Linked DNA regions of Schizosaccharomyces pombe. The gene in region 1 interacts genetically with each later gene. Each region holds a gene or a part of one and is shown in the gene's direction. Other genes may lie near its edges. The genes, in order: sac12, rog1, gmh4 and eca39.

Region 1 (5,233 bases):
TGTGGGTATGTTTACTCCCGAAATGGCTAAACGCCTTGCAGCTCTCGTTAAGATGGAAAAGGATTTACTTCGATCTTATGAAAACGTTGCCATGGAGCGCAAAGAATGTGCCAATCAACTTTCGTATTGGGGTGAAGATTGCGATGATGATATTAGCGATATCAGTGATAAGCTTGGTGTACTTTTATATGAAATTGGCGAACTTGAGGAGCATATGGTAGACAGATACGATCAATATCGTGTTAGTCTGAAGACCATCCGTGATATTGAGGCTAGCGTTCAACCCACCCGTGTTAAGAAAGAAAAGCTACTTAACTCCATTTATGATGTTAGAAGCCGTGATCCTGAGTCCCCAAAGCTTATTACTATGGAACAGGAACTAGTTCGTGAGGAAGCTGCGTGTTTGGTTGCAGAAGCGCAGTTAACTAACATTACCCGCGAAAACTTTAAACGTGCTTTTACTCTTCATATTGGTACATTACTTGAGCATTCTGAAAAGGTTGCTATTCTTTGCGGGTATGCCAAGAAGATCCTCGATCTCCTGGACGATACTCCCATTGTTCCCGGTGAGCCTCGCCCTATTTACGATGGTTACAACATAACCCGTGACTATATTGTTGAGGCTGAACGTGAGTTGGCTAATTGGCAAAATCCTTTCCAAACTCCTGAACCCCTTACCGACATTGATGGTTTGCCTTCTCAAAGTCATTATCAAACACAATTTCAAGCTAGTGTCGTTCCTCGCACAGATGTAATCAATGAACCTCCACGCCGTTACTCTCATGCGAATGGTGTAACTACTTCCGGCACTACACACTCTTACACCTCTACAGGTAGTAAAAGATATTCTCAAATGGGTACAGAAGATTATCAACCTAGTTTTCAACCAAACATTCTTCAAAGCACCCAAGTTGTTGATAACTTTGAAATTGGCGAGGAGGATGATGAAGAAGTAGGATCTCAAGGCGTTGCTGAAACGTCTATGCCTAGCACTAGTGCACAACCTATTGCTGCTTAAGCAAGTCTTGGTGTGTATTCACGCGATTTCTGGTGATCCTTACGCATTCATCAATTGACGTGAATTTTTTGTCATGTCAATTCACATAATTTGCTAGCACGTGTTAAGCACTTGCTATTGCTACATATGCATGCTTATCGAACTAATACTCACGTTACTCTCATTACCATTGTTTTTGTGTCTATGTCGTTTAACCATATTTATTTTCCACCGAGTTTTATGTTTCGCAGATGTTGGTTTCTTAATTATCTTGTTTTTATTTAGTGTTTTTTTTTAATTCCTGCGGTCAAAATTAGGCTTAACAAGGTTGTTGGTTAAAGCAATTAATTAACAATGGAGATTATTTGTGTTGAAAAAGGATTTTATTAAATGTATGATTTTATAATTTTTACTTCTCAATCCGATTTAATAAAATATTTATGTAAAAATTGGCAGTTCGGTTGTATTAGTAAAAAGCAATACAACATAGATAGCAAATTCAACTGGGTCAGATCTTTAGTATATATTATTTAACAACGGTAAAAATATCAATAAAGCTTAATTAAAGCAAAACATATGCTTCCTTTCGAAGAGTTGGTTATCATATAACACCTAACTTTTATAGAAATTATGTATCAAAATATAAAGCGACATTGCCTATATGTTACTTGCAGTCAAAGAAGGCTCGTAAACTATTTTGATTATGCGATAGAGTATGGTATGTTTTCTGTGATATCTGAAAAACGCTACGATGAATTATTAATTATTTTTGCTACTCTCAAAATCAATAATATCATACAGTATTATGATTTTCGTTTGCCTATTCTTCGAATTATAGTTTGTAGTTCAGCCTTAATATAGGTAATTGGGGAGTATCAGCATCACCAGACGACCTATCTTGTAAAGCAAAGGTACAATGAATAGCGATACTTTACGTATCATTACATAGTGCAATGAGAATTGTTAATAATATCATACATTACACTGTCACTGAAAGTTCGTTTTGTAAAACGTGCTGCATAAACCTTCAGGTAACAATGAACTCGTTACTCAGGCGCTGCGTTGGAAATCAAGCCTTCAAAAATCGTTTCATGGACATTAAAGAGTTTGATTTGAATTTTTGTAAATATAGCATTCTCATTTTTTACTTTTGAGACCTAATTTGGAAAATACATTAGTCCGGGGTTCATTATAGCAGAAAAGCATCTACGCTTCTCAAATACAACAAAATAATGAATCAGGACGTTAGAGTATTTCCAGACAGCATTTATCTATCATGTTCCAAAAAAAAAGCTTCTCTTCGAATAGATAGAGTCGACGGATGCCTTAGTTTGAGCAATTCTCTTGATCTCAGCAAGACACCTGACTATAATAACGTTCAGTTATATGGATTTATTCGATTGAAAATATACAAATATGTAGTTCTTGTTACAAGTTGTGATTTGCATGCAGCAATTCTCGGAAACAATATTTATCGGGCAAGGAAATTTGCTATCTTCCCAATTACAAGGACTCTTCCATTCTCCACGGGTCTGCTAAATATTAAAGATGAGGAAGAACTACATTATATCAGTTTGCTCAATAAACATTTGTCAAAAGGCCAAATACTTTTTAGTCCAACGTTAGATCTAACCTGTTCCCTTCAAAGATTACGCGTACTAACCCAATCTTTTGAACTGACATCAAAATATAATTACCGCTTTTTTTGGAATAAATATGCATTTCATGAATTAATTGAATTGACGAATAAGGATTTAGGCTTTCAAGAATGGATTCAACCGATGATTCAGGGTAATATCGCCATTACTAACTCGTTTTTAAAGACTTATAACCTTAGACTGTGTGTTATTACACGACATTCTCCTGACTATGCGGGTACGCGGTATTTCACCAGAGGTGTAAACGCACAAGGAAGTGCTGCTAATTTTAATGAAATTGAACAAATAATAATGATCGAATCACCCATCACCCTTGAAGAACAAATGGTTCTTTCTTTTACTCAAATTCGAGGAAGTATCCCCATGTTCTGGGCCGAAGTTAATGATCTTCATTATCGACCTTTATTATCTTTACAACCTCTTGATTATAGCGAGACTGTGTTTGGGAAGCATTTTCAAGAACTTGCCAACGATTATGGGGACAATCTTGTGGTGGTCAATCTTCTAGACCAAAAAGGACGTGAAGCACCTCTACGGTCTGGGTTTGAAAAATTATGTAAACGAAATAAAAACCCTCCTTTGTCTTATGTTTACTACGATTATCATAAGCAAGGAAGTAGAAATCTCCCTTTGTTTCTTGCTGAAATTCAAAGTCTCTTGATAGAAGGAAAATATTATGCCGAGCATGGATCTAAAACTACTGCAATGCAAACCAACTTTGTAAGGACAAATTGTATGGATTGCTTAGATCGGACGAACGTCATTCAGACTAGCATTGCACAGTTTATTCTAAACATGCAATTACACGATATTGGTGTACTTTCTAGCTCTGAGAGTTTGGAAGAATATGATAGTTTTTTACAAGATTTTCGCTTAATATGGGCTAATACTGGAGATTATATCAGTGATCTCTACACTGGTACCCCGGCCTTAAAAGGCGATGTGACTCGCCATGGAACGAGAACCATTTTTGGAGCTTTCAAAGATTTATTAAACTGCTTTCGTAGATATATTCTTAACAATTTTTTTGACGGTATGCTGCAAGATAGCTATGATTTGGGTCTTGGAGTATTTCGTCCTTACGACTCACTTTCGATTCCGGACTTGCCTTTGCGTTTTCACTGGACTAGATTTGTGGCACCTGGAATTTTTTTGTTCACCACGATAATATTAACTATACAAGAATTATTTGGAAATCCAAGTCTGTTCTGTCGTCTGTTATATTCTATCCCTATGGTGAATGCTGGAATCTACCTATATTTTCATCGTAGACAATACGTTAATTGGCCTCGTCTAGTACTACCAACGTATGCTAAGGGAGGTTGGTTTTCGTTTCGTAATCATTTCCGAAATATTACTCTTAAAGTGTTTCGTTTTTTGCGTTCCGGCTCTTTCAAAAAAAGTGTCTAACTGTGCATTTCAATAACTAAAGAACAGTATTGCTATAACTCTTAATTAGCAGAAAACGCTCTTTGAACACTCGAAGTTCACTCTTTATTTCATTAGACTTCATAGATGTCAATCTTGCTACTGAACAAAGCGATGCTACCCAACTTTATCAAGTGACTAATTCAGATCATTTTACGTGATTGGTAATTGTAACTTTATTTTCTTTAATTGCTCCAAGCTTCCTACCAATATCAATTAGTAATTTAAGATTTTCATAATTGTTAGAGCCCTTAACAAACTATTGTAGTATGGATAACACACGAAAAAAATATAGCAGACAAAATTAATATTTCTAACTTTTATTAAGTCAGTGTTAAATATTGGGCAACTTTGACCATTGAATCACTGAGGCTTTTGACTCAAGTTTTACTCGGTTTTAAACAGTAAATGAAATATATGAAAAAGCCAAGCTTTCTTTCAATTTCATAAGTGTTGTTCATGTTCAATATTTAGGATACATACTTCTTCCAATTTAGGGGCATTCTGGTTTAATATTTTCAATGAACATGTTATAAAAATGAATTTTTTAAAAGATCATACAGTTCAGCAACGTTTTCTAATACTTCCAATCCAGAATCTTAATTCACAATTCACATTACTGAAAAAATGATGAAGTTATGCCTTACCCGACAGTTTTTGTATGAAAACTCCACAATATTACGAAAATGATTATATACACTTTTACAATCAGCTTAGCATAATTATGCTTATAGAAATGGAAATGCTCACACTTAATTTTGAATATTATTTTAATAGTGGATTTAACTACTCCTAGTACCAAGTCAAAGACTTGAGATCACTTAATGTAGCTTACGGAAGCGTAAACATCTCTCGCAATAATACTGCGTAACGAAGACCTGCAATTTAGTATATTAAGCTTGAACTTACACGTATACCCCTCTTGTTTATGTTAGCAGGAGTGCAATGTTCTGAACTTGTATATTTTAAGCCGTTCTGTTAAATATTATTAATTTAATCGTTTTTCTTTTTAAAAATTATAGCTTTTTAACGCATTGACGAGTTCACTACATACTCTAAGGATACTTAACATAAGTACGAGTACTGCAAACCGTCCATCAAGCTCTTCAAGGCGAATCATACATTTCGAGCGAAATACGACTCTTTAACA
Region 2 (6,431 bases), 500 kb from region 1:
TATTTATTGAGTTATTAATACACGGTAGATAAATGAAATAAAGAAATAATACAATATCAAAGGGAGCTTCAATGTGTATATAGTTACGATTCTTAAAACTTAGTAACCCATGAGCTTTACGCGAAGAAAAAGAGCGTTGAAAATGAAACATAGAACTGTAACATGAAAACGAAGAATTATTTTTTGTAATTCAAGAAACAATATATGAACATAGAAGGGAGTCAGGAATGACCAATGCTGATAATGTTTAGAAGAGGCTAACTTTGCTCCGTTTGAGACGTTAAAGTGAAATACGAGCTCACTGTTCCTACCCATTGATGCTGCCAATTCGTATAATATGCTATATGAACCTACATCTAGTCAATTGCTTTGTGAACAAAGCTTGGTATATTGGCGATAGTAACAAACAAGCTAGTCGAAAATTTTTAACTAGTTTTTAATTCAGATTTCGATAGAGTAATCGCGTTAAATATATTTACCTGTCCAATAAAAAATTTCGATGAAAAAATGTTTTTTTTCTTTTCAATTATCTACAGAAAACTAATTAATTAATGCTTTGCGACTTAGCAAGAAGTTGTAATACGTGTTTAATGTACTGTAGTATCTAGGAAATTGAAAGTTATATGAAACAATAGATATTTATTTTAAAAAAGTTAAAGCGATTGGAAATCAAGATTTGAATGTATGATTAATTTTGTTTAGAAAAAAAAATGGGTTTTCTCTCAATGTCGCAGTGTCATCCTTGTGCAGGGGCCATGCTCTAAACAACGAGTTAGTATGACTCGAACCTTGGTAAATATTGTTACTTACAATCTTCTCTGTATCGTTTCAATTTGACCAAAGTGATCCGAAGATCATCAGAAAATAAAAATTGTATTATTTATAATTAAACTTATATTATAATTTTTTTTATAAATTGGTTTTATTATATAATTAATATTGCTTTAAAGCAAGTTCATTTTGTAAAATATATATAATAAACATTATTGGTATAAAAGCTCTGAGATTTACAGTATGCAGGAAAACAAAGCCGCCAAGAGCTACTTTGACTAAAATCGCGTGAATAATCTCGAAAATCTTTATTAAAAAGATTCTTTTATGCTTAATTAATGAATTTAAAATACAAATGTAAAAGCGTAATTGTAAATTTAAAATTGCTTCATTATCCCTCCGTGAAAAAGAAAAATATCAAATGATGTTTAAATCGTGCAACTTAACAGCCTTAATATAAAGTCGATAGTATTTTTTCTTTGAAGAATAATATTTTTTATATCATTGAACAGTCGTGTGCTTCATGGGATTTGACTAACGTGTATTGCTAACCAAATATTCATATTAATCCAACGATTGTTGATGACCCGAATAATTATCCAATATTAATAAACAATACATGCTTGCATGAATTGCCTATTATATTATTGTTTTAACTGGCCTAACTCTTTGGGCCTCATACAATTTCGCCACCCTCAGGAGAGGAATCCCTGTCCACAACAGGAATTGACTCATTCTTCGTATAGGAGGGTGAATTGCTTCTTTCTCTCCTTCTATGATAAGAATACCTTTCCCGTTCATCGTGTCTATTATAATCTCTTCTGGGTAATTCAGAACGCCTTGAGTAACTTTCATTACTACTCCGTCGTCTTTCTAATTCATCGTAGGAGGAATACGAATCGTAATGTCTTCTTCTATTTTCATTGTAATTGTCCACATGCCTTTTTGAATTTAATGATTTCCTCTCGGAATAACGCGGGTAATCATAATAATCATCGTCAACTGATGATCTCAAATCGTCTCTTTCTTCTAATCGCCCATCATCGTCATTTTTCGAGTGAAATCCTCTTGTTTCTTTTCTTTTCTGAGGTTGAAGAATGGATTCAAAATTTTTTCCTTTTTCAGTAGATTTTTGTAATTGCAATTCTTTAAGTAACTGTTCTCGATATTTTTGTACTAAAATTTCTACATCAGCTTCATCTAAAGATTTAGTTTTCGATTGTGATTGCTCATCTTTTATAATTGCTTTAGGTGGCTTCGGGTTTTCAGTCCCAAAATTTGTATTGGAATCAGATGCCGCTGCATCAGTGCTGTGTTGGGAACTGACCTCCTCCAACAACTGCTCTCTGTACAACAACAACTTCGACTCAATTTGTCGACGGCATTCATGCTCGCTTATTGAAGGATCTTGAACCCGTTTTTCCAGAGCTTTTGCATTTCGATTTGACTGTAGATTTGTATTTTTGTCATATTTTTTTACGTGAGACAGATTCCGCATTACGTATCCATTTGTTCCTGATCCTCTTGGAGTGGGTAATCCAATTCCATTATACGACTTTAATTGTTAGCAAAGGACTCAATTTTGGTGTCTTCTTCATTAAAGAAAGCTTTTTATGCATCTCTTACCATCTTGCTTTATTTCCCGTGAAGTCGTTCGATTTTTGCTTTTGCTCAAAAATTAGAAAAACTGAGTTTATATAGGTTCGTCGAACAGCTAGTCTAACAAAGGAATCGAGCGAACAAATTTTACCGGTAGGACACTGATAAATTCGCGTTACTTTTTACGTGATATGAGCAACTAGCGATTTACTAATTGAAACAGATAAAATTTTATCCCTATTCGTTGACCGGTATTGAAAAATAATTGATATCTCTCACCTTTCACGAATAGCTAATTTTCAGATTTACTAGTTTTTGAGTTGTCATCGCTTGACTTCTGACATTATGAATGTATATGTACAACGAGATGACGGTAAGTTACTTTAAACAAAATTTACCACTCCTTTAAATTGTATTTGCAAGTTGATATTATCAGCTCGTTATTTAAAGTTTCGATTTGTTATGCTTGTTTCGATGCAAAAATTTTGGGATGGCATATAAATATTTAATACTTGTTCTAACATTGGCATGGTACAGTTGGTTTAGGTCAAATACATCGATTTCGAATTTTTGTGCAGAGTGGGGGCAATTTGCATTCGGCAACGTCTTCTACAACTGTGCCCCCCACTGTGAACCTCAATTCAGTGACTAAGAAAGAGAGTGGTAGCATCGAGGATAGAGCAGGTTCAGGTGGGATGACAATCTCTAGTGGGGAGAATATCAGCAAGCAAATCTCAGAGAATAATAGTAGCACGAATCCGAAGCATGCAAATTCAGAATCCTCACCTCTTCTTTCCAGCGATTTTTCATCTTCTTCAAAAGATTATCATAAAGTTGGTGCGTTTACAGATAATACCAATGCAATCAACATACCTGAACAAACAAGAGGTGTCTCTCATACCTCTTCTTCTCCTTCTGTAGGTACTTCATTCTCTTCTATTAATCTTCGTGAAGTAAAAAATCCCTTGGCAGGAAGCGACTCTACAGCTCCCTTCATAAATTCGACTAACTCGGTACTTTGGATTCGTGTCAGGAATAGAGAAGCACGTTTCCGCCAGGCAGCCTATCTTCAAGGTCCATTTACATTATGCGTTAGCGTTTGGAATGACCAATTTTTTGATGAAAAAAATTCTTTATTAAACTTTGATCCTCAGGTACAGCCCTCTACTAGTTTTTGGGTCTGTGTACCTTATTCATGTTTTTCCAATCAGCAGCCTATTTACATTGAAATTGCAAGTCAGGCGATTTTTAAAGATAGATCTATTAACTTTGAGCTTGCTATATCGCAATCTCAACATTCCATTCGAGCCATGTCAGCTGCTGATATCGATACTCTTCATGCATTCCCTGCTCTACACGTTGAACATCAAACTCCGGAAAATTTATGGCGTCTTCCGTATTCTTCATTTCATTCAAAGAATTCACATTTGGTGGTGCTAACTCATGGAATGCATTCTAATGTTGGTGCTGATATGGAGTATTTAAAAGAAAAACTAATAGAATCATCAAAATCTGTTAAGGAACTAGTAGTTGTTCGAGGATTTACCGGTAACTACTGTCAGACTGAGAAAGGGGTTCGCTGGCTGGGTAAACGACTTGGTGAATGGCTGTTGGATATTACGGGCTGGGGAAGTGCATCTTTTCCTCGATATTCCCATATATCAGTTGTCGCCCACTCACTTGGTGGATTGGTTCAAACATATGCTGTTGGTTATGTACATGCAAAAACGCACGGTGCCTTTTTTCAGGCTATTCACCCTGTGTTTTTTGTAACTTTGGCAACTCCTTGGCTCGGTGTTGCTGGTGAACATCCTTCTTATATTGGTAAGGCTTTGTCCTATGGTATCATTGGTAAGACAGGACAAGACTTATCTTTAACTCCACTGAATCACTCCATTGAATCAAGACCTTTCCTTGTTTTGATGTCTGATCCTTCCACGCCTTTCTTTCAAGCTGTTTCGTTTTTTGAAAAAAGAATATTATTTGCAAATACTACCAATGACTATATCGTCCCTTTTGGAACTAGCGCAATGGAAGTTAGTTCTTTGGGTAAGGTAGAGGAAGCTGAGGGTTCAGATAAGGTTATGCCTACGCATATGGAAAATGGCATTTCACCAACACTAAAAGAAAATGAGCAAACAGTTCAAAGTGTCGGAGATAATGCAAAGAAAATCCATGCTTCTTCAGAAGAATCTGGATCTTCATTTTCTAAAGCTCTTAAATCCTTTGTAGGATTGTTCAGTTATTCGGCATCCAAAACTACAGATACTGAAATTCCATTAGTAAAAAATGAGGATGAAAATGCTAGGAAGCCTACTGAACCCAATTGTCTTGGCTCAGATGAATTAGATGTCTCAAATTCTTCAAACCAATTTTTTTGCTCAGCCCCTAAATTAGATCCAACTTCCACGTTTTCAGGAGTTGCACAACGAGTTGTCAACACTTTTACAAATTTGTTTATCCCAGCTGTTCCGACAGATTCTTACTTTTTTAAATATCATCTGCATAAAGTTGTTGTATCTGATAATGTCCATGATCCAGCTGCCTCTTTTTCTACTTTTGATGGAATTACTGAGCTAAACAACATGAATAATGGTTTTTTGTCTAACGAAATTACTATTGCCAAAAACTGGCATAGGCTTGCGTGGAGAAAGGTTGCTGTTAGACTCGATGGTGATGCGCACAATACCATGATTGTTCGTAGGCGGTTTCCGAATGCTTACGGTTGGACAGTGATTAAGCATCTAACTGAAATTTTGTTCGAGCAAAACACTTCAACAGCATATATGAACCCCATTTCTTTCGATGAAACAACAACCGCTGCCTGGCTTTCAGAAATTTATGAAGATAACTCAATATCAGTTTAAATACTCATACGTGTTAAGACATTCGTTTAAATTTAATGATACTGCATTTTTTTAGAGCATAATAATTTATAAGGTTAAAAGTAATTTATTTCTAACTGCGTATATAACGACTACAAAAATCGATAACCATTTCAAAGCATTTGAGGTAAACAAAAAGATTAAAGATAGTGTATTAAATCAAACGATTGAAGGGAATGCGAAAATCCGCATACCAATGTTGAAAGACAATATAACGTAAATTACTTGTGAGCCAAAGCAACACTGACACTTTGATTATCATCGTGGGAAATACTGACGGAAACACTCTTCACACCGGCGGTCGTTGCAGCCTTCGCAGCCTCTCCGTGCAAAACTACTTCAGGAGCACCAGACTCTGAAGAAATAATTTCGATATCCTTCAATGGAGCTGCAGCGCCTTTACCGGAAATACCCAAAGACTTAAAGACAGCCTCTTTGGCTGACCAACGTCCGGCAAAGCTAGCTTGGGGATTAGGAGCTGCAAAACAGTACTTTCGCTCGGTATCAGTAAAATTCCTTTCTATAAAGGTCTCATTATCAATGCTAATCGCTGATACAAGTTCAACATCCACGCCAACATTTTCATTGGAGTTGGTCAATGAGGTTGTTAGGCTTTGTAGAGTACGTGTAGTTTCGTTGGTTTTAGAAATGTCGGATTCAGCAGGCAGTGTGGCAGGGAAAGTCCAAGTGCCAGCTTTGCTCTTCGAAGCGCGTGCCAAAGGATTGAGATAAACGGCTTTCTCTTGTTCTTTGGTGTAAGGAGGAGAATCCTTGGCGCGGACCAAATTGTTGTAAACCAGCGCATCGTGGGTGTAACGATAAGATGCCTTATAACGAGCAGCAGTTTTAGCTTTGTAAGCATTATAAGTAGCCTCATCAATCACACCGTAAATGTAATCAGGATGGATAACTATAACTTGTCCACCAACTTGTCCAAAACCAAATGCAGTAACAGATGCTGCCTTTATGCCATCAGTTTGTATACCTTCACTAGGGAACATAACCCGGTCGAATCGTGCTAGATACTCATCAATGTTATCGGCGTTACGATTACCCGGAACAAACCCAGAGCGAAGAATTTGGAGAGCTCCGTTGAGCATCCAAGCTCCAGCACCACCCTTGCTATGTCCAGTGAGATATTTCTGGAAAACACCGTACACAGCGTTACCCTTAGAG
Region 3 (5,333 bases), on another chromosome or scaffold:
AACGGTAGAGGAACTTACCCCATTTGTTCGAGATCGACGAGCCACATATCGACAAAGTCTGAGCGTGCTAAAACATGTGAAGAAAACATGTCCTCACCTTATCACTAAAACCAGTATTATGCTTGGTCTAGGTGAAACCGATGCGGAAATTCTAACAACTCTTAAGGATCTCCTGGAACATAATGTAGATGTCGTTACCTTTGGTCAATATATGAGACCTACCAAACGACACCTAAAAGTGCAAGAGTATGTACATCCTAAGAAGTTTGAATATTGGAAAGAAGTGGCAGAGAAATTAGGATTCTTATACGTGGCTAGTGGTCCACTTGTTCGTAGTAGCTATAAGGCTGGCGAATATTTTATGGAGAATCTTATTAAAAAGAGATCAGGAAACCCTGCTTCTATGAGTGTTTAAACATGGCTGCTTATCTAGGTACACTCGATAGGAGTTTGTCTTCAACAGAATTACCCTTTTTTGCATTGACTCGAATCATCTTTTAAATTTTTTTATTCTTTATTTCAACAATACACTCTTAGATATAATTTTAATCATAATAATTCTCGTCTTAGTTTCTAATATCGTCTTTATACCCAAGTTATCCTTATAATTTATCATATTCAAAATTGATTTTGTTTTCCTTGATTAGCGAGACAGCTTTATAATATTTAAGTAAGAAAAAGACAGCTTCACCTTTGTAAGTATTTAGGCTTTATCGTCGTCCATGCATCAGCAACATATCTGACAAACGGGTCATGGCCGCCAAAAGTATCTCTTCAGGAATGGGATCATTTAGAAAAGAAACTGGGAATGGGTTAAAAGAAATACTTTTGGCAGTGGAGTCTACGAGCTCTTTTTGTACGACATTGTCTTGTAAAACAAGAACAGCATGCCGAAACGAACTTGGTAAACTCGCTTCTAACTCTTTTGAAGTAATAGCTGAAGTCTGACTGTTGATTTGAACAACAAAGTCATATCCACCTTTGTAAGGAGAACTTTTACACAGCTGAGAAGAAAGACATGACCGCACCTTGTAACCCCAATAATGACCACCTTTTTCTCGTGGAGCTGAAAAAGACACGATATCACCTTGAAGCTGGCCTTCTTCGTTTGGAGACTGCGCTTTTAATCGAACCGTGACCCTTGTTCTAGGAGCAAGGACGCTGGGGCTGGAAACGATTACATTGTGAGATAGTCCAGCATTTATAATATATTTATTCTTTGCTTGCGGAGATGGATGAGTAACGATTCCCTCTCGGTATGGGAATTCAATATTCACTGTGCTAGCCTTGTCATTTCTGAGGGGAAGTAATGGAAAGCAGCTAGTATATTTTAGATGTGGATTTAGTGGAAACAATTCCTTCCTCATAAAGAAAGGCGTTTCGAAATAGCATAATAAGTCCGTGAGAAATTTTGTGGGATCCTTTAAATAAGCATCAGAGGAAAGTGTATGTACCTGGGTGTTTTGCACATATTCAGGGTCCTCTAGCAAAATAATTTCGTCAATACCATATAGAGAAACTATTCTCGAAATCTATATTTTGAGTTAATACGCGACAACAACGAATCTTTCAAACCTTCCAGACAAAACTCGTTTTAAGCTGCAAATTGTATGCTACATTTAGACTTGAAATAGGTAATGCTAAAGATATCGTATATCGTCTCGTTGGTGGTAAGCTTTGTATTTCGCTTTCTTTTTCCATAGCAGTTTCTGTAAGCAATTAATGAGAAGTAATAATATGGCCCAAGTAGCAGTATTTTATTTACTTTTTGCTGTCTTGGGAAACAGAATATTAGGATTTGGCTTTTTATAAAAATTTTAACGTCTTAAAAAGTTGGTGAAGAGTAAAGGCATGAATTTCATTTACCAGGCTAAAAACCGTCCATTTAATATAATTAAACTAATTTTAAATTTTTTTTGAAGTATTGATCAAGGTAAAGGGATATTTTATATCAATACTTTTATTGATAGGTAAAAAAAAAAATCCTGTACTTCATAAACAATGAAAAAAATTCAAACAAACAAATGTGTTTAATGCCATTCAATGAGTGCGATTTAAACTATCAATGAGTCTTCGTAAATACCAAAGGGCTATAGAATCCCCTTTTTTTTTTTTTTTTTTTTTCTTTATATGGAAATAATAAAAAAAATGGTGTACACTTTGCTTGCAATTTATATAAACCAACTATACACGCCGAAGCTTGTATATAACCGCTGTAAAAATTTGTTAGTAGAAAAAACAAGATGATATTTTATTAATTACATACATAATTTTTTAAGTCAATAGAAGTTCATCGACTCTGATTCAATTCATCTTCAATCTTACTCTATTTACTATTTACTTTTATGATTTTCGCTATATAATGAGTAGCACCGGGTATAACGCTATAACAGTTTAAAGTATAATTTCAATATCACTAAAAAAATCTAAAAACACGTTAGAGTACGTTAGGTAGGATGCATCGTACACGTTAATCAAAATCCTTCGAATGTCGAACACGCAGACTACAAATACAGCCAAGTTGCTGCCAATTATAAAAGCAACGTTTCTCTGCTCTTAGTACGTGGTTGGGTGGATCCTGATTTCTGTAAAAATCATATTCAATATCAATAACCAGTCCATCTTGACTCGTAGTCTTTGAAACGGTGTAAAAGGATTGTTGTCAGGATAAGCTATAATCTATTGTTGTTTAAATTGTAGAATCTTCCTCTTTTTTAAATATCGCCGATATAGCTTGACAAAAAGGCTCATTTTGAAAGCTAGGCGTTGTGTTCTCGCAAGGTTTCTTTCATTATCCGGTTTTTCGTATTTCTTAGTGAAAACGCCCTCTGTAACATCTTTACTGTTTTAATTTTCGGATATACTCGCGTATATATCGTTGGATCATTTATTTGCATTTAAAAAAGGGCCATATATATTCCATTTTCTTTACGACCCAGATCTTTATACCTTTTTTTCTCTTCTCTATTTATACCTTCTCGATTTACAGATATTCTCTTACCTTCTTTTCTACATTATTTGCACATTTAAAAAACCCCTAAGGTTTATTCTTTTAAACCGTTATCTTGTTCCATAGACGCGCATAACCAACTCATTTTTTCTCGCAAACTGTTTGTTTTGCACTTTTTTACTTTGTATTCTGCAAGATGTTCAACTTTCGTTTATTTTCTCGTAGAGGAAAAAGTTTAGGTCTCTTGGCCATCGTTTTATTGCTTTTTGGCTTTTATTCTTTAAAGTCTTCAATGCCTGTTTATTCCAATTCGATTGGTTCTCCCAGTGCCCATTCCTCTTCATACAAAGGTGTTTCTAAGGCGAAAACATCTCCACAAGATCCTGATTCCGTAGTCATGTTGATTGTTAGTTTTGACGACCATTATGATTCAAGTAGATCTGACTCCAGCTCTGTCTTCCTGGATAAAGTGCTTTCTGATCGTACAGAGTATGCCTTGCGTCATGGCTATACCCTAGTCCACAAGAAAGCCCGCGATATTCAAGCGAGGTATGGTGTCTATGGTACTTGGAGTATTATCCCAGCTTTGAGGGAAACTTTGGCTGAGTATCCCGACGCTGGCTGGATATGGTTGCTCGATGCAAAGGCTGTTATAATGAATCCTTCCGAATCTCTCAAGGATAGGGTCTTGAAACCAGAAAAACTGTCGCAGCATTTGCTTCTTAATTCTCCGATCGATCCATTAAAGAACTACATCCGTACACGCCGTAAAATGGATCCATCTGATGTATTTGTAATTACCACCAGTGATTATAATGGAATTAGTACGCGTTCTTTGCTTATTAAAAATAACAACTTTGCGCCATTTCTTTTAGATGCTTGGAATGAACCTTTGTTGAAATCCGCCGGTTTTGATCAAGCTGAGCGATCTGCGCTATCCCACTTATTGGAAGCACATAACACTATCTTGGATCATGTTGCACTTGTGTCTCCTAAAGTTTTAAATTCATACACCAACTCTGCGGTCGATTTGAATTACGAAGAAGGTGATTTCTTGGTTATTCTTCAGGACTGTGAGAACGCTGCTGCATGCGAGCGTATATTCGAGTATGTATTCTATTTATCATCTTGGTCTCTTGTATTTTTACTAACACTTCCAGCAACTACTATCAACAGAGAAAACTTCCAGCCATTAAAAAGCAGCTTTCGGAAGAAACGGTTGATGAACAATCGTAGGTTAGTACTGTCTTAGCATCTTACTTTCATTTCCAGTAACTCATCTTCATCTAAACCTATCTTTCAAATTCGGTGGTTTGCATATTCCTACATTAATTTAATGAATTTATACTTAATTTCCTTTGTTTGATCAAGGGAAGATATGTTTTTCGTTTACGGAAATACATCGCAGATTGGTTTACAAGTCAAGCAATTCATATGTTATATTCATCAAATCTTCTTAATGAAAGCACGTTAATTGCTATTCTATGCAAAGAAAGAAACATTTATTATGTTTGACCTGAAATCCACATAAACCCAGTTGAATAACATTAATGCATTTCATGGCGACATAGAGACATAGATGCTGTTGAAACATCACTCATGCAAAAAAAAGAGGCTGAAACATTTTTAAAGTAATTATAACTTCAAAATAAATTCTATAAACTAAATGATAAGAATAGATTAGTAACGATAGTGATCAGCCTTGTAAGGACCGTCAACAGGGATACCCAAGTAGTCGGATTGAACAGAAGTCAAAGTAGTAAGTTTGACACCGAGTTTACCCAAATGAAGACGGGCAACCTCCTCATCCAACTTCTTGGGAAGCATATGAACACCAAGAGGATAGCTGGTGTTATCGGTCCACAAAGCGATTTGGGCAAGGACCTGGTTAGTGAAAGAGCAGGACATAACAAAAGAGGGATGTCCGGTGGCACAACCAAGGTTAACGAGACGACCATCAGCTAAAAGAATGATATGACGACCGTTCTTCAATTCATAACGATCAACCTGGGGCTTGATGTTAACAACATCCTTAGCGTTAGCCTTCAACCAAGCGACATCGATCTCGACATCAAAATGACCAATGTTACAAACGATAGAGTCCTCCTTCATTTCGTTGAAGTGCTCACCACGAATAATGTCACGGCAACCAGTGGTGGTAACAAAGATTTGACCTTCCTTAACAGCCTCTTCCATAGTGGTGACTTCGAAACCGTCCATAGCGGCTTGAAGGGCATTGATGGGATCGACTTCAGTGACAATGACACGGGCACCTTGGCTACGAAGAGAAGTTGAACAACCTTTACCAACATCACCAAAACCAGCAACAACAGCAACTTTACCAGCAATCATAACATCAGTGGCACGCTTGATACCATCCACC
Region 4 (4,970 bases), on another chromosome or scaffold:
CCCGACTGGGGATGACACTGCCACTGATGTCTCTAGTGCGCAATATATAGATATTTTTCAAAACAAGCTTCTAAATGGCTCAATTCCGGTAAATTTTAGCTATCCTGAAAATCCTCTTTACTTCGTTAAACATTGGACTCCTGTGATAAAGGCTGAAAATGCCGACCAGTTGTCCAGCAGCGGTCGAATTGAACTTTTTGACTTGGGCCGTCAAGTTTTTGAGCGCTACTATGAGCTTTTCGACACTGATGTCTACGATATCAATACTGCTGCTCAAGAACGTGTTGTCGACTCTGCAGAATGGTTTAGTTATGGAATGTTTGGCGATGATATGCAGAACAAAACCAACTTCATCGTTCTTCCGGAAGACGATTCTGCGGGTGCAAACTCCTTAGCTATGTATTACTCTTGTCCCGTTTATGAAGACAACAATATTGATGAAAACACTACTGAAGCCGCCCATACTAGTTGGCGTAATGTTTTTCTCAAGCCTATCGCCAATCGCTTAAACAAATACTTTGATAGCGGTTATAATCTTACGGTTTCGGATGTTCGCAGTCTTTACTATATTTGTGTATACGAGATCGCTCTCAGAGATAACAGCGATTTCTGTTCACTCTTTACTCCCTCTGAATTTTTGAATTTTGAATATGACAGTGACCTTGACTACGCATATTGGGGTGGTCCCGCTTCAGAATGGGCTTCCACATTAGGTGGGGCTTATGTTAATAACCTTGCAAATAATCTTCGTAAGGGTGTGAATAATGCTTCCGATCGTAAGGTATTCTTAGCGTTTACCCACGACTCTCAAATTATTCCAGTCGAGGCTGCTCTTGGGTTTTTCCCCGACATTACTCCTGAGCACCCTCTACCGACTGACAAAAACATTTTTACATACTCATTAAAAACCTCTTCGTTCGTTCCCTTCGCAGGAAACTTAATTACTGAACTTTTCTTATGTTCTGATAATAAATACTATGTACGCCATCTCGTCAACCAGCAAGTATACCCCCTTACTGATTGCGGTTATGGTCCTAGTGGTGCTTCAGATGGGTTATGCGAGTTGAGCGCTTACTTGAATTCTTCGGTTCGTGTTAATTCTACCTCTAATGGTATTGCTAATTTTAACTCGCAATGTCAGGCGCATTCCACCAACGTTACCGTCTACTACTAGACTTAGCATCTTATATTATTGTTAACACAATTGGGTCCTTAGGAATAATATAGATAATTTTTAACTATAGTAATAGCTTATGTATAAGACTTAGGTATTAAGGAGGAAAAGTAGAGCGAACAGAAAGTGAGCATTTATATATTCAAGAAAGACTTACGAGACATAGTATAAACGAGTTGTGTCAGTGTTTGAACAAAAAAGGAAATACTTATAGTTTTAAATGCCTAGTACGAAATCTATAACCTTCACTCGTACCGCCTTTAGGTGAAGCTAATTCTTCAATTCGACTTACTTCAAAGCCTTTCAAGTGACTCCGTAGCTTTTGTAATTCCTTTCCAAATCATTAATATTAATAGGTCGGGATAAATCTTAAACATTTCTCAAGATATAACGCGTACATTAACGATTCCTTTTGGCGTCAACAACTCACCTTTTACCACACACGAACGACACAAAAGTTTAATAGAATTCATTTAAAATATTTGAAAGTCATGTAATTTGCCAAAAAAAAAATCCCTAGTCCTCCTTTTCCATTACACGGATAAAAGAATCAATCAATCCCTTTTTTTAAACCCTTTAATATCTGTAGCTCTATAAATCAAAATGAACATTGCCATGAGATGTTCCAAATGATAAAACTAAGGCTTCGCGTAAGAAGGTGCTTCTTCTGACAATTTTCTTATTTTTTAAGATACTATCCAAAATCACCGATTTCAAACATTTTCGCGAAAAACCAGCTATCCGGAATTACCAAAGCATTAAATCTTCAATAATTAAACATGGTAATCACACCAAACAGCGCATTTTCAAACTCATCTGATTACCGCATGTGTAAGAATCTATATTCTTTGCCCACAACTTTACCAAATAACCGTATCTCAAACCTATGAATCTTCATTAAATTGCACGGGAAAATCTATACTCCTACTCCTAGTGTTTTAACGAATGCTTTTTTATTGCTAAAAGAATAGGCCATTTGCAACTTTTGAGAGAGTTTTTAAACATGTATCTCAACTGCGTTCTAAATGTCCAACATTTTTCGAGAATGTTAAGAAACCTAGTTTTCTAAAATATTCCTTCTAACCTTTCATTTTCTTCAAAATTCATTTACACCTGTCGCAATATAAAAAGGGAAAAAATTGACATACGTTTTAGGCGATGATCGCTTATTTCCAACATCGGTTTAATAATTTGAGTGTCAAAATCATAATTATAAAAATTGATGTCGATAAATTAGCTTCCTTTATGAGTTCAAACTAATTTCTTTATGCTATTACTACTAAAGCTATGCCAATGGTACTCAGGATTAAAGGTGGCCACGTGGTCAGTCTTTATCACTATTGATCTCGGTTCTTTAACAAACCTACTTGTCCATTTAGCACCCTGTAGTTGTTACCAATCAGCTATCTAATCTCGGCCGTCTCTAGATCCGTTTGGATAGACGCTATTATTTATTTTACCTAGCCCCAACTTTTTCGGTATCAGGCGAAGAAGAAGAAAAAATGAGTTTAATGTTTTTGAGGAGAGCGGGCAATATAAAAGGCAGAAATATTCGCTTTGCCCTTCAACGTGGCTCTGTAGGTTATTCTCAACAAAGCTCTGAGGCTTGTAAAAATTTCCTCAACACTACACAACTTCGTACCATGGTTCAAACTGCTGCTCTCCATGGCCCAAAGCCCATGGATAGCTCCCATATAAAAGTTACTAATGTTAAGGAGCTTAAACCTTTGCCCGAATGGAAGAGTTTGAAGTTTGGTGAGAATTTTACTGATCATATGCTTATTATGAAATGGAACAGAGAAAAGGGTTGGAGTACTCCTGAGATCGTTCCATTTGGTAAACTTTGCTTTCACCCTGCTTCCTCCGTTTTCCATTATGGTTTTGAGTGCTTTGAAGGCATGAAAGCTTTCCGTGACGAAAAGGGTGTCCCACGTCTTTTCCGTCCCATCAAGAATGCTGAGCGTATGCTTTCAACTGGTACTCGTATATCTCTTCCTTCCTTCGACCCTGCTGAGCTTGCTGAAATTATCAGAAAGTTCGTCGCTCACGAAAACCGTTGGGTCCCTGATCAGCGTGGTTACTCTTTGTACATTCGTCCTACTTTCATTGGTACTGATGAAGCCTTAGGTGTCCACCATTGTGACAACGCTATGCTTTATGTTATTGCCTCTCCCGTTGGCCCCTACTACAGCTCTGGTTTCAAGGCCGTTAAGCTTTGTTGCTCCGAAGAATCCGTTCGTGCTTGGCCTGGCGGTACTGGTCACTACAAGCTTGGTGGTAACTATGCTCCTAGTGTTTTGCCTCAAAAAGAGGCTGCCAAGAAGGGGTATGCTCAGATTCTCTGGCTTTATGGAGACGAGGACTACATTACTGAGGTTGGTACTATGAACTGCTTTACTGTTTGGATTAACAAGAATGGCGAAAAAGAAATCATTACTGCCCCTCTTGACGGTATGATCTTACCTGGTGTCACTCGTGATTCTATTTTGGAAATTTGCCGTGAACGTCTCGCACCTAAAGGCTGGAAGATTACTGAGGGCAAGTATTCCATGAAAGAGGTTGCTCAAGCTTCTAAGGAAGGTCGCCTTTTGGAAGTCTTTGGAGCTGGTACTGCTGCCCTTGTTTCCCCCGTCAAGGCTATTAACTACAAGGGTACTGAGTATGAAATTCCCATGCCTGAGGGTCAGGAAGCTGGTCCCATCACTTCTGAAATCAGCAAATGGATTTTGGATATCCAATACGGCAAGGAACCTAACAACCCTTGGAGCGTTCCTGCTTTGCCTTAAATTTAATTCTCAAAAAATACCTAACTATGTCTGTCTTTAGACATTTATGATATTAGGTGTCCATAATTATTACATATAGACCTTTCGAGGGTTAATCCCTTTTATCTTTGTTGGTTTCTCTGATTCGTGTTACTTTTCCTTTTCAATTCTTTTATTGATAACATTACAGAAGGATAGTCTTCTTGTATATAAATTTGTAAATCAATCGGAGTATTTATGAATTGTTCAATACTAGCGTAAACATCAATTAGTGTTATTCTACAGATATATTAAATTTATTCAATACACATCGTTTATTATTCATTTAGGCTAGTAAAGTGTAAAAATGTAATAGTAAATAAAATTATCTAAGCTACATGGTAAATGAGAGAAAAGTAATTGATTGGGCTCGACATTTGATCGTGGAAACAGTTAGTTCCATTCTACTAGTGTGCAGAGTTGACAAGAAAATTCATGGACTTAATAAATTTTATGTCTTTTCTCGAAATAAAGAAGTAGTAGATAAACAAATGAATATAAATATGTAAAAAAAAGAAAATAGTATGCATATAACTGAAATATAGCATTAGAATTGGTCTGTTGAAATTACATTGCTTGGATGGCTTGTTGCTGCTATAGTACGATCTTAACCCATACGAGGTTGGATTTCAAAACCATGCATCAGAATGCATTGAATAATGCTACTCTGAATGTCCTTGGACACAAAAAAAATGGAGTAAGTTAATAATAAGATTTTAACCCTTATTGTCAATTTCTACTGCTTGGAACACAGAAGTACTAACATACGAAGAGTTCTAGTATTCAAGAACTAATTGAAATGGACGAAGAAGAGGCCGAGGTTTGTTATTAAATAAATTTAACATTATTTTAACCATTTAGATGAATCAAAATGTCGTTTGCATAGGCCCAAATGGTATAAAGCTTATCACGTACAAGTAAAGTATATATCTAACTATGGTACAGAAACCGCCGTAAGCGTTGAACTTGGAGACGAATACGAAAAGTTTAAT

What was found.
Region 2: mutations in sac12 (region 1) and rog1 together harm fitness more than expected from each alone (negative genetic interaction), as found in Schizosaccharomyces pombe (one large-scale study listed by BioGRID).
Region 3: mutations in sac12 (region 1) and gmh4 together harm fitness more than expected from each alone (negative genetic interaction), as found in Schizosaccharomyces pombe (one large-scale study listed by BioGRID).
Region 4: mutations in sac12 (region 1) and eca39 together harm fitness more than expected from each alone (negative genetic interaction), as found in Schizosaccharomyces pombe (one large-scale study listed by BioGRID).

Annotation. Positions count from the first base shown.
Region 1 is NC_003424.3:2,060,638-2,065,870, reverse strand, and holds sac12 (inositol polyphosphate phosphatase), read left to right. Parts: upstream 1-2,088; 5' UTR 2,089-2,229; coding exon 2,230-4,065; 3' UTR 4,066-4,298; downstream 4,299-5,233. Other genes in the region: eisosome BAR domain-containing protein Pil2, read left to right, coding at 1-1,018.
Region 2 is NC_003424.3:2,561,564-2,567,994, forward strand, and holds rog1 (lipase), read left to right. Parts: upstream 1-2,326; 5' UTR 2,327-2,397; coding exon of another isoform or gene 2,398-2,400; 5' UTR 2,401-2,523; exon of another isoform or gene 2,524-2,593; 5' UTR 2,594-2,715; coding exon 2,716-2,743; intron 2,744-2,864; exon of another isoform or gene 2,865-2,907; coding exon 2,908-5,237; 3' UTR 5,238-5,307; downstream 5,308-6,431. Other genes in the region: vrs2 (valine--tRNA (Val) ligase Vrs2/Vas2), read right to left, coding at 53-151; protein Cwf21, read right to left, coding at 1,448-2,326, 2,398-2,400; fatty acid synthase alpha subunit Fas2, read right to left, coding at 5,477-6,431.
Region 3 is NC_003423.3:1,387,037-1,392,369, forward strand, and holds gmh4 (alpha-1,2-galactosyltransferase Gmh4), read left to right. Parts: upstream 1-2,499; 5' UTR 2,500-3,146; coding exon 3,147-4,057; intron 4,058-4,110; coding exon 4,111-4,186; 3' UTR 4,187-4,630; downstream 4,631-5,333. Other genes in the region: lipoic acid synthetase Lip5, read left to right, coding at 1-415; SPOM_SPBC8D2.16C (uncharacterized protein), read right to left, coding at 711-1,532, 1,576-1,701; SPOM_SPBC8D2.18C (adenosylhomocysteinase), read right to left, coding at 4,631-5,333.
Region 4 is NC_003423.3:441,621-446,590, reverse strand, and holds eca39 (branched chain amino acid aminotransferase Eca39), read left to right. Parts: upstream 1-2,654; 5' UTR 2,655-2,676; coding exon 2,677-3,960; 3' UTR 3,961-4,247; downstream 4,248-4,970. Other genes in the region: thiamine-repressible acid phosphatase Pho4, read left to right, coding at 1-1,174; nucleoporin Nup107, read left to right, coding at 4,616-4,675, 4,751-4,798, 4,840-4,873, 4,924-4,970. UniProt on the Schizosaccharomyces pombe protein: Catalyzes the first reaction in the catabolism of the essential branched chain amino acids leucine, isoleucine, and valine.